Alligator mississippiensis: one gene and its partner. The protein of the gene in region 1 interacts with the protein of each later gene in a pairwise test. Links are inferred from orthologs where the notes say so. Each region holds a gene or a part of one and is shown on either strand. Other genes may lie near its edges.

Region 1 (6,359 bases):
GAGCCACACAATGCCACTGGTTGGGCAAGGGATGCATGGCCAGTGCATGGCTCCCAGGGCAAAGGCAGCAGAGCCCCAGCCCACAGCAGGTAGCCTGCCTCTGCCCTGGGCACAAATCTGGGGGGCACTGGCCCTCCTGCCCATGGCTCCCCTAGGGGTGCGTGAGCGGCAGTGAGTCGTGCCCCCCCCCCAACCTCTCCCAGCAGCTCTGTCCCATGACCCCTTAGGGCCCCATTCACCCCAGCCTCTAACCTGACTCCCTCCCTCACTGTGGGGGCCTTGCTTGAGTCCAGAGAAGAGCCACCTGTATGATCAAAGACTTGCAAGGCAAGCCATACAAGGAAAGACTGAGGGACCTGGGACTCTTCAGCCTGAAAAAGAGAATGCTAAGAGGGGACTTGGTAGCAGCTTACCACTACATCAGGGGACTATATCAAGGGCTTGGCGAACAACTGTTCACCAGGGCACCCTTGGGGAAAACCAGGAGTAATGGCCACAAGCTCTGGGAAGACCATTTCAGGTTTAATGCAAGGAAAAACTTTGTCACAGTCAGGGTGTCCAGACTGTGGAATAAACTCCCTCCAGAGGTGGTACAATTACTTACCCTGGAAATCTTCAGAGGAGACTGGACAGTTACCTCGCTGGGGTCACTTGACCCCAGTTGTCTTTCCTGCCTAGGGCAGGGGCCTGGACCCGATTTTGCAAGGTCCCTTCCAGCCTCCTACAATCTGTGAACCTCATGCTAAGATTACCACTTTGAGAAAATATTTAAAATAGGACAAATGATGTGATGACAGAACAGCATCAGAAATGTTTATTTGCTTCTTTCATACCTAACAGAGGGTAAATTCAGGGCCTTGAAGATGGAGTTCTCTCTTCCTCCTTCCACTTACGCTACCATGGCAATTCGAGAAGTCTTAAAAATGGACACGAGTATAAAAAACCAGACACAGCTGAATACTACGTGGCTTCGCTGAATGAATGCTGTAAAACTACATAAAGATTTTAAAATATGAATGAGTTTTCATATTTTCCTGTCCTGTGCAAACCATTGAATATTTTTAGAAGAAAAAAGTTTGTATTTTTTTAAGTTTTTTTTTTTTTTAGCTTAAGCATTTAATTCAATAATTATTTGCAATATGGGTGTTTGTAAAAAACAAAAAACAAAAAAAAACTTAATGCTTTGGCTTTCTTAATTACCTGAGCCCATAATGTACTTAAGCTCTAGCACAACTACAGTTTAAGAAGAAATGGGCTTAGGACAGCAATCTCAGATTTTTGGAAATACTAAATTGCTTTTCTCTTTATAAGTACAGAGAGCATTGAATATACTTTCATCAGTTCAGCACAGAATAAAAGTCACTGCAAGCATGCTAATGTTACAGAGAAGAATTATTAAATACAATTGAAGAATTAATATTTATTTCAGAGGAGTACATTTGAGTAGCGTTGGAATGCCAGTAGCATTTGCACTGATTGGTAAATGAATCGATTGGCAAAACTTTTAATTCCTTTTTATGTGATGTAAACAGATACAGCTATTTTTAATTATTTGAGCTCTAAATTTTATTATGAAAATATTGTGCATGTTTTCATCTCTAAGAGTACTTGTACAAAAGAACAGGTAACAAAAACAAATTAACCAAAAAGTCCAGATGAGTATTCATGAATAACAGCTAATTTCTGGGCACCAGAAATTTGGTGGGTCCATTGCTGGCAGTGGATGAGCTGGGCAAATCCAATCTCCCGGCACCAAAGGATTAAAAAGCCATTCTAACAGCAGTTCTGTTGCATTTTCGATGTTATAATTTTTAAAAAACCAACCAAACACACTTGTTTTCTGCTGCTTGAATTAATAAATTGTGTAAATAGTCCAAGTTGTTTGTGTCTTCTTTTGAGCATTGGATTTGTGTGCGAATAATACAAAAACATAAGTATCTTTTCTTGAGAGGGGGGGAAAAAAATGAACTGCCCGAAGTATCGGTGGAGATGCAGTATGTGCTTGCAGGTGGATGCCATTTTTTGTTCCTAGTATGGCTGACCCGTTCATTTCTTTAAAAAAAAACCCAAAAAAACTCTCAGCTGGTTAAAGGCGACATCCTGGGTGGGCTGGTGCCCCGACCCGCTGTGGCGGTTTGCAGAATGGTGTTCAGTAAAACAGAAAACTTCCAAAATTTTGACTCTAGTTGGGAGCAGAGGGAGATGCCTTTGGGGGCACAGAGGTGTTTCCACATCTCAGCACACACTATTGTAGCTGCTCCCAAACTTTGTGTAGACTTCTGGCTGCCCTAGAGGCGCCCTTGGGCAATGCCCACTCCTGCGTCCCGCTCTTTTTGCCTATAGCAGACATGATGGAGCAGGTTTTCTGTGGCAGAACAGCACAGCTAGGCTTCCTGTGTGAAAGCCCTGGGTTAACTCTGCTCCTCGTCAGAGCACTGAGGCCGGGCTCTTTTTGATTCAACCAAGCTGCATTAGTTGGTCTAATTAAAGATCTGGGATTTACCCGCGGAACCTCGCCTGTCACCGTCCTTAGACCAGCACAGCGCCACCCTCCACCCCTCAGCCTGTGCGCCGTCCTCGAGACCGCCTCAGGATAGCCCGGGGGCGGGAACCTGGCTGCCCCTCACTGCCCTGCGCGTTGCGGCGGGGCGGGGCCCGGCCCAACCCAACCGCGCTCTCCCATTGGCCACGGGGCGCGGGGCTGAGTGCCAGGCTCCGCCCCTCGCTGGGGGTGGGGCGAGGCGGAACTGCAATAACGGCAACAACCGCCGGAGGGGCCTCCTCGCGTGTGCGTCTCGCGCGTGGCAGGTACTCTGTTCTAGCGCTGTAGGCACGTGACCCGCGCGCTCGGGCGGCTTCGCCACCTCTCGCGGGACCTGGGGCTGTGGACGCGGCCGGTAGGGGCGGGGCTCAGGGCCCGGCGGGAGTGGCGGCGGCTGCAAGCGGAGTGGGGGGAAGCCCGGCCCGGCCTGGCCCGGCCCGGCCCGGCCCGGCCCGGCCCTGCTGCAGGTGCTGCGATGAGACTCGTCCCGGTGGGCGGCTGCTGCGCGAGTCGTGCGACCGCGGTCACTCCTCGCGGGGTTTGGGGGTGGCGCTGCTCCCACAAACGGGCCTTGCGCTGACTCGCGGCTGCCCGCAGCGACAGCGACAGCGCGGCCGGCAGCCCGCTCCGCTCCCCTGCCCTGCCCTGCCCTCCTCTCCTCTCCCTTGCGGCTGTGCCGGACTGAAGCAGCCAAAAGGCACTAAGGCAAAGACACCGCCTGCAGCGTCACGGGCCAAGCCTGTCCGCTGCTGGTGCGGTGACCAGACTAACGAGTATAAATGGTTTCTAGGTTTTTTTTCCCCCTTTTCCACGCGTTTCTTTCAAAGAAGTTTTAAGCTAATGTTCAAATGGCCGCGGGTTTCTTCAGCTGCCTGCACATATGAAATATTTGACACATTTTGCACATTTTTAATCTGGTGGTTGAGGTAGGGATGATAACCTGACCAGACAGCTCTCGCACGTGAATTTCACTGTTTTCAAAGCTGCCGAAGGTCGTTGCAGGAGTTGGACCAACATTTTCGATTATTTTTTTATATGCTAAACCAAAAATAAAATTACTTATTTACTAGATGTTTGTTGCAGCTCTTCCCAAAACAGGCTCAGGGCGGCTTACAGAAAAAATAATTTATGAAAGCAGATCACACGCGCACGCATACACTCACGCACCCCCTCACCTCCTGTATATCAACAGTATGCATAAACTCCCCAAACACAGCTCATCTTAGTAAATTGAGTAGGATTGCTTACTAAATGCCTGTCCAAAAATCAAGTAGCTTTTAGAAATATAGTGTCAGAGGAGTAAAAGCTGGTTAACTTTTCTTGCTCGTAGCTGTGTTTTGGTTCTGTGCACTCGTCAGCCGATGAGTGTGTGTGTGTGTCATACTTTGTGGATCAAAGGCCATATCCCCACAAAAACTTATGCATGTGGATAGTCTTATGGAAGCAGTATTTTCACAGAATAGTTTTGAACTGAATTTTCTCTGGCCCTATTTCACTCTGGTGGTCAGTAGTTCTGTGTTGGTGGTGGCTAACTAAATATCCTGTAATTCAGTGCTGCAGGTGAAGAAAAAATGGCGGCCATTAAAGTTGGAAGACAACTAGTCGCTAGAGATCCAGATCACTGTGATATACCCTACTATGTATCTGAATTTGTGGAAAGAGAAATTGGAAACGATCGTAATTCCCTAACAAAACTTGGCATGCTAATAGAAGAGCTCTCAGAAAACAAAAGGCAATTGGAGGAGCAGGTAAGCATTCTCACAGTTCTCAAATTCACTAATGTAGTAAAAACAGTATGACAGAAGAGCAGGGGGGAAAGCTTGCATGTGGCTGCTGCTACCCACCACACTGCGCTACCTCCGCTCCACATGCAGCCACCACCCCCCACTCTGCATATGGCTGCTGCCACCAACTCCGGCTCCATGTCTGGGTGGAAACCCTGTGCCCTCAGGTAACCCACATTTTTACAGAACCAGCACTCCCTCGTTCCCCATTTGTGCCAGATATCAGCGATTTTACTGTACGTTGCCAAACCATATATGTACTTACTGTATTTATTCAAATCCAAAACGATGCTTTCTCCCCCTGTTTAACATGGTGGGAAAAAGCCCCTCATCTTGGATTTGAGTACAGGGAGGTGGTGGCGGGGAGGCAGTTGCTGCAGCTCTGGCGCTGGCCCTGATCTGGGGTCAGCTGGAACCACAGCTACTGCTACTGCCCCTGCCCCCTAGTGTCTGCACCCTTGCCATTGCTTTCCCTGCTGCAGCACTGTGTGTGGGGGGAAGAGATTTAAGATGGAATAATTAGATTCTATATATGGAAAATTAAAACAAGTGTATACATTTTCCATATATAGAATCTAATTATTGCGGGTTGTTTTAATTATTGAGGGTTGTTTTGGATTCAGGTAAATAGTGTGTTGCAATATTTTAAGTAATGCCAGAAAAACTGCTGGTTTTTTTACATCCTTAAGTAAACAATCATGTATATTTTACTGTGGAGAGGGGAGGGGTGTGTGTATTGAGCTCCTGGGAAGGAAGGAAGGAACAAGTTAGAAGTTTCCTAAGTAAGCTAGATATTTAAAAATCAATAGCTCCTTAATTAATGAAGGAATTGGCTGAAATGATTGCATAACCACTAGCTATTGTCTTTTGAGAACTCATAGATGTTGTATGACGTCCCAGAAACTGAAAAAAGGGAAAACAGAGGATCCAAAGAATTACAGGCCAGTCAGTCTAAGTTTGATATCTGGAACAATACTAGAACATATCCTCAGGTTATTAATTTAGTAGCACCTAGAGATTAATAGGAGATAGTAGTAAGTAAGGCTTTGATACTATGTCATTCTTGTGAACTAGCTCAGCTCAGATGTGGGGTGGAAAATTTTCCAGTGTTTTATTTTTATGTGGGAAATTTTCCATTTCTAAAAATTCATTGTTTCATAAAATTCATAATTGATGCCAATACAATATTAGGCAAGCTTGGCAGTTTCAGAGTTGTAATTAATGTTTTTCAGGTGATTATCCCTAGGAAGTGTGAGAGAGAGTACATATGTGTTTTGTTGATTTGTAAACAGGAGGGTAAATACACTTGCATAATAACCGAAACCAAAAATCAAGTTATGAATTCACCTAGTTGACTGTGCAGGTCAAATCAAAACCAAAGCACAGCATATTTCATAGATTTCATAGACATTAGGGCTGGAAGGGACCTTGGAAGATCGAGTCCAGCCCCCTGCCCAAGGGGCAGGAAGTCAGCTGGGGTCATAGGATCCCAGCAAGATAAGCATCCAAATTTCTCTTGAAGGTGTTCAACATAGGTGCTTGAATATGTCCAGTGGCAGACTATTCCAGACCTTGGGGGCTTAGACAGTAAAGAAATTCTTCCTTATATCCAGCCTGAAATGGTTTTGCAGTAGTTTATAACCGTTCGACCTTGTCATCCCTTGGGGCGCTCTGGTGAACAAACGTTCCCCCAGATACTGGTGGTCACCCCTGATAAACTTATAGGTGGTCATCAGATCACCCCTGAGCCTGCACTTTTGCAGGCTAAAGAGCCCCATAGCTCTCAGCCTGTCATCATAAGATCTGTTTTCCTGACCTCTGATCATGCGCGTGGCTCTTCTCTGAACTCTCAAGCTTCTCCATGTCCTTTTTGAATTGTGGGGACCGAAACTGGACGCAGTACTCCAGCTGTGGCCTCACCAAGGCCGAATACAATGGGAGCATGACATCCCAGGATTTGCTTGAGAAGCATCTGTAGATGCAAGCCAGCGTTTTGGTTGCTTTACTAGCCGCAGCATCGCATTGCAGGCTCA
Region 2 (6,359 bases), on another chromosome or scaffold:
GGAAGGGGAGGTGGGCTGGTTGCAAGGAGAACTGGTTTGGAACAAGGACAAGATTCTTTCCTGTTTTGCAGCCTTCTGGCTCCTCCCTCAGCTCAGATCCAGCAGGAAAAGAAGTGAGGCAGATGCTGCCAGGCACCACAAGGACCTCTGACAGTCAGGGGTTGCAATGGCAGGAAAGTCCTGCAGTCCCACTGGAAAGCATGAGTGTGAAGGAGAGGCCAGTTACACACTGGGCAGCTGGTCACTCAGAAGGTCTGTGGGCATCGCCTTCACAGCAGGGGGAAAGGATGTATGGGAGAAGGAGGCCTAGAAAGCAGGGTAGGACCTTCTGGGTGGGAAAATCCCTACCCTTTCTGGTAGGGTGAATACTCTTTTGGGTTGCATTTCTGAACTCACCATGTACAAAGCTCTGTGGAGAGAATATGATGGGAAACTGTTTGCAAAATGGTGCCATTTGAAGTAACTAAGAACCTTGCAGTGAGTCTGCATCCAGAGAAGGCAGTTTTTGTGCCAGCTGCATCTCTCATGAATACTCTCTCTGTCTCACTCTGTATGCAGGTCAATAAAGGTAAGTGCAGAGTGCTTCATCTGAGGAGAAGTAACCAGTGACATGAATATAAGTTAGGAGATGTCCTGGTAAGCACAATGGCTGAAGGGGACCTCCGGGTTATGGTTGATCCCAGGATGAATATGAGCTGCCAGTGTGACACTGTAGTCAACAGAGCTAATAGCATACCAGGATGTATTAGTCAATGCATTACAAGCAGGGCTAAGGAAATGATATTTCCTCTCTACTCAGTGCTGGTGAGACCCCAGCTGGAGTACTGTGTCCAGTTCTGGGCACTACACTTCAAAAAAGATGTGGAGGATCTTGAAAGGGTCCAGAAAAGGGCCACAAGAATACTTAAAGGCCTGGAGGACAAACATTATGAGGAAAGACTAAGGGATCTGTGACTGTTCAGCCTGGGGAAGAGAAGACTGAGGGGGGGACTTAGTGGCCATCTATAAATATGTAAGAAGTGAATATTGGGAGCTAGGAGAAAAACTGATCACTAGGGTGCCCCAGGAGACAACAAGGGACAATGGCCATAAACTTTTAGAGGATGGTTTGGGGTTGGATGTAAGGAAGAACTTTTTTATGGTAAGGGTGGCCAGAATCTGAAGTAGACTTCCCAAGGAAGCAGTGCAGTCCCCAACCTTGGAAGTCTTCAAGAGGAGACTGGACAGACACCTTGCTGGGATCATTTGATCTCAGCAGTATTCCTGCTCAGAGCAGGAGGGTTAGACTCAATGATCTTTCAAGGTCCCTTCCAGCCCTTAATTTCTACGATTCTGTGATTTCCGGTTTCACCTCGGGTCTGTGACACCACCACCACAACTGTGACACCCTGGGAACTACTTCCAGATTTCATCAGTGATGTGAGAGGGAAGGATCTCAGTGTTCACTCCTTACATCCACTGCCCCATCTAAAACAAGAATGAGAGTTCCTCACTCTATCATTATCAAATCCTTATACAGGCAAGTCCTCGGACTTGCAACACAATTGGTTCCTGAAAACCACGTCTTAAGTCAAAACATTGTAACTTGGAACCAATTTTCTCATAAGAAACAATGTTATAAATGAGGGATTGGTTCCTGAACCAAAGCCCAATAACCTATTTTCACCAAAAATACCCCAGAATTTTGTACTCGATCAATTATAGAGGAGTAATATAGCTACATTAATATATTTATATTGTAAATAGCAATCATGTTGATTTGGAAAGACTCTTTGAGGTGACTTTGCTGGACTTTTTGAAGGGCTCTTGGCTGGAGTATTCTCAGGAGTCTTGACTGCAGGTTTTTCTGGAGTTTTGTCTGTTTTCTTAAAGAACGTGTCCAAGTAAGTTTGGACAAATGTTCTCCAGGGAGATGAGCAACCCAGCAAACTTGTTCACTGGCATGGCATTGCATCAGATCAAGCATTGTAAAGTCAAAACTGATGTCATTAAGTTGAAACAGGGTGTCAATTTATAAATGTTGTAACTGCGAAACATTTTAACTCGAAACATTGTAAGTCGAGGACTGCCTATACATTACAATCAGCGTAAGGAAAGCATGCCAGCTAATTCCCCTGTACACTTTTTTGCCTGGGCAGGCATTACGGTTACCTAGAGACCAGAGTAAACAAAAGCTTTCAGTCGCAGCCCTCCAAGAGGCCCAAGGAACTTGTCACCCCCGTCTGTCCGCTTCCCGTGCTGACATGCTAAGGAAGCAAGTCCCACAGGCCTTTCTTTTTTTATTTTCGTTTAACACCATTGTGACTGCTTCAAGGAACAGGCAGGATTCCTGAGAGCATAGCAGCAGGTATTCTTGGGTTGCTTGCCATTTTTCTTAGCTGCCCAACAAACTGGCAGAGTTACTGATGGCTGCAGGGGGAATTTGTGTTTGGTAGGGCTAAGATATATTTGCTATATTGCCTTGACAGCAGCCTTTGGGGCCCAGGAGTTATGGGGTTGAGCAGATTAATGTGAATACATAAAAATATTGAGAAAGTATCACATTCAAGGTAAAGTACAGTACTTACGTAGAAAATATGATTTCAAAGATGATTCACTGGCCTTCAGATCCTGTCAGAAGCTAATCTCACATGGACATCGAATTAAAATATCAGAAGTCCCATATAGTAAAAGTTGTATCTTGGTATAATATTTGTAACAAAATCACAGTATGAAATTATATGATTCTGCTAATATTTTTTTCACGTGGCTTCTCCTGGTTATGAGTTTTTCTTTTGTCTATGCTCAGTTATTTCTGTTTAAACTATCATACAGGTATGCAGCACCTCTTCAGTAATTACTTAACAATTTTTCATGTCTTATAAGTTATTTCTTCATAAACATGATTTTTCTTATCAAGCAACCATAACATTTTTATTGAGGTGGATGCAGAGTAAATTAGGTAATAGAATGCAAACAATTAACTGTGCACCATGAGGGATGTTTTAAAGGTATCTGCTACAATATGATTTCATATTTAGTAATGTTAGATAACGAACTGTATGCTTTGGGCCAAATTCTGTTCTTCAGGACACAGCTGCAACCTTACCAGTTTTGATAATATTTCACCTTTATTACCGAGAGCCAAATGTGTTGTGTGTATGTGCACATACGTGCATAAGTGATTTTTAATTATGATTAACAAGCATCTTTACCAGGATATTTCTCTCTTTAGCCTGTGTTGATTGATATCACACAATGTTTTGGTTTTTTGGTTGGGTTTTTTTTGCTTTTGCTTTTACATGATTTAATAAAGCTTCCTGATTTTTACTCTTCACAGGATAGGACTGCCAGAATAGGAACTGAGGTTCTCTGGTTGCTTGCAATGGGTACTGATTAGAGAGCAAGGGGTCTAATTTTCTAAGCAGAACTCCACACACAAGTCTGAAATCTGATTATAAAAGGATTGGCTCTTTCTGCTTCTGCAAGCAGGAGTTCTGTAAAGCTTTTGTTAACATTGCTTGTTATATGTATATTAGGCATGTTTATGTTTAGAGCGGAATTGGTTGTATAAAGGTAAAATGAACTTCTTCTGGGTTTGAGATTTGAGACCAGATGTCTTTTACAACAATATTTTCTAGTTTATCCACAAGTTATTGACCTCAAATGTAGAGCACAAATAAAAGAAAACAAGTAGAAAAGAAAAATTCCTTCCACTGCTGGAATTACTGGGTGAAACACTGTCCTATTCTGCAGGAATTCAAACTAGATGATTATAGTAACTCTCTGACTTTAAAATCTGCAATAAACTCTGTTGCAGTTTGCACCAGAGGTTATTGCTTTCTGGCGCTGCATTTACATGTGTGTCCAGGACCACAGCATATTGAGTCAGGCAGGAGTACCCCCAACTGGCAGGAGGTTTGGGGGATCAACCTGCCAGCCTGGGGCTGCTCCAACCCAGCTCAATGTATTTTGGAGGGGGCTGGCTGGGGCACAAAGGTTCTCCCATGTGGGGCTAGCCAGCAAGGCAGCCCCTGCACTGAAGCACCCTCAAGCCCCAGCCACCCCTGTCAGCATCTATACGTGTGTTGTGGCGCACTAAATAAGGACACTGTAGAATAGCACTTATGTTTACAAATACTAGCCTACAGCAGTGTTTATTAGTTACCTAATAGGGCTGCACATGTAGATGTTATGACTACTGCAGAGCTAATTAGGCAACTCCGCTGTAAGCATTTCATGTAGATACACCCAGTGGAGACCAAAGTGATCAGGCTCTATAGGGAAGAAGTGGCCAGATGGTGCTGATTGGAAGGTAAACCCACTTCCCCCAACCTGGCACTGGTGTTTAAGTACTGGTTTCAACCTCTATCTGCTGCCAGCTGAATGTGACATTGGGGCCATAAGCACAGACTCCAGGGCTTCTCCCCTGGCATTTATCCTTTAGCTTTTTTCTGTCATGGTCTGAATATCCCTTTGCAAAGAAGCCATTAGAGAAATTATTTTTGCGGCATACACAGAATGTACAGACATACCTGAGAATCTATCCACCATAGTCCCCCCCAAAAAGGTGCCAACCAGGGACGTAAGTAATGTGGAGCTTTGCATTTGTTTTCCCAGTGCAGGAATTGCTTGCTACAGCAAGTTAATGTGGTAACTCAGGAATTAGTTTGACATACATGAATGGGCTATACTGAACTATGTATCTCTCACAATGTTTTTATTTCCTTCTCTAGAGGAGAAGACAAAAGATTATTGCAATGACTGCACTATTGCACCTTGCACTTAATTTAATATCCAGGAGATAGAACTGGCAAAATACTACATGTGAGAGCTGCAAGTGAGAAAGTGCTTTGGTAGCTGCTTAGACCATTATCACAGCTTGGAAATCTCAATTAATATACATTAAACAATTACTAAGGAAATCACAGACAGACATGTATTACGTTTTACAATACAGTGGGTGTGTCTACACATGACACTACATTGCCGTAGCAACACACTATGGCGACACAGTGTCCGTGGGCGTCTACATGTCACCAGCAGCTATTTCACTTTAGCAACACACTCCCCCACTGTAGTGTGCCGCTATGGCGAAGTAGCTGCTGAAAATAACCATGTGCCGTGCGTACGACGAAGTACAGACTGTTACTGTGCCATGATTTAGTACTTCCAAAAGGAAGTACTAAATCACAGTGTAGTAACAACATCACCATAGTGACACATGTAGACGCACCCAGTGACAGATAACAGGGGTAACTGTGACCTGTATACAATACAGGCCCATTCACATGTCATTATAAATATTTTCAAATGGTAGTTATTGATTTTTAGCAAGATTTTTTTTCTTTTTGTTAAATTACATACACAAAGTGCTTCTGCTCAACTGCACTTTGGCACTTTTTCTCCCTCCTTCTCTCCTTCCCTCCCTACGAAGATTCTCTTCATGTCTAATATTTTATTCTGTTTTTGTCAGAAAGACAGATGAAAAGCCAAGGGACCTGAAACCCCCCAAATTTCTCTTTACTCTCCCTTCATAAATACCTGTGATCAAATGGTACATCTCACTGTAGGCGATGCAACGTGCTGCCTACTCAGCCATCATGTGTACAATAGGTTCCTTTCTTTTTTATGTAATATAGCCCTGCAGGTTATAACTTGCAGAAAAGTGGTCCTATGTTTTATGCAGTGAAGCTCAGAATTAGAGCTCTCTGTGCCATCAAACTGGAAAGATGACCTCATAATGTCTCCAGGGAAACCAAGATGCTGATTCTCTCCATTTTTTAGACTCAGTACAACTGCCCAGCTTTTAGAGCTGCACACACTCTTTACTAAACAAAGATACGTCTCTCCAGAGTTCCAAAGGTATAATGTACAGACTTAATGTAGTCATTTTATGACTTTTAAGAGATTCAATATTTGCTATTCCTTTATTATAAATCCTCACTGGAGGTTGTGTATGTGGAGTTATAACTTAGCTATGTGCTTTATAATAAAAAGGAGCACTATCCTTTTTTACTATGTGCATACAATGACGATAGCTAGATAGCTAGATAGCTAGATAGATAGATAGATAGATAGATATGCCTGTTTTATAATCCCATTTTTCTTCATCTAGAGCCCTTTATGGTGATTTATTTGTTCAGCACCAACGATGAGCTCAGTGTTGTGTAATACATAAAAGTAGAGACAGCTCATAGCATATATGTATTTATATGTATAAATATACACATGAAGTAAGAACAAACTACTTAACACATTTTCCCTCATGTTAAGTGTTTGTAGTTATAAGGGGCAATAACTTTGGGAGAGAATAAGTGTTAAATTGAATACACATGCAGGAATGGTACTATTATATTTGTATACAGATATCAGGAGAC

The links. The genes of interacting proteins can lie anywhere in the genome.
Region 2: the proteins of RINT1 (region 1) and FAM81B interact in binary tests that used the Homo sapiens proteins (3 or more experiments, as listed by UniProt). The two-hybrid records come from large-scale screens. The link is inferred for Alligator mississippiensis from reciprocal best matches to the Homo sapiens genes RINT1 and FAM81B.

The regions. Positions count from the first base shown.
Region 1 is NC_081827.1:26,523,092-26,529,450, forward strand, and holds the start of RINT1 (RAD50-interacting protein 1), read left to right. Parts: upstream 1-2,732; 5' UTR 2,733-2,808; intron 2,809-2,850; exon of another isoform or gene 2,851-2,897; intron 2,898-2,905; exon of another isoform or gene 2,906-3,032; intron 3,033-4,094; 5' UTR 4,095-4,113; coding exon 4,114-4,290; intron 4,291-6,359. Other genes in the region: PUS7 (pseudouridylate synthase 7 homolog), read left to right, coding at 841-977. UniProt on the Homo sapiens protein: Involved in regulation of membrane traffic between the Golgi and the endoplasmic reticulum (ER); the function is proposed to depend on its association in the NRZ complex which is believed to play a role in SNARE assembly at the ER.
Region 2 is NC_081826.1:239,355,760-239,362,118, reverse strand, and holds the start of FAM81B (protein FAM81B), read left to right. Parts: upstream 1-2,190; 5' UTR 2,191-2,347; intron 2,348-5,774; exon of another isoform or gene 5,775-5,844; intron 5,845-6,359.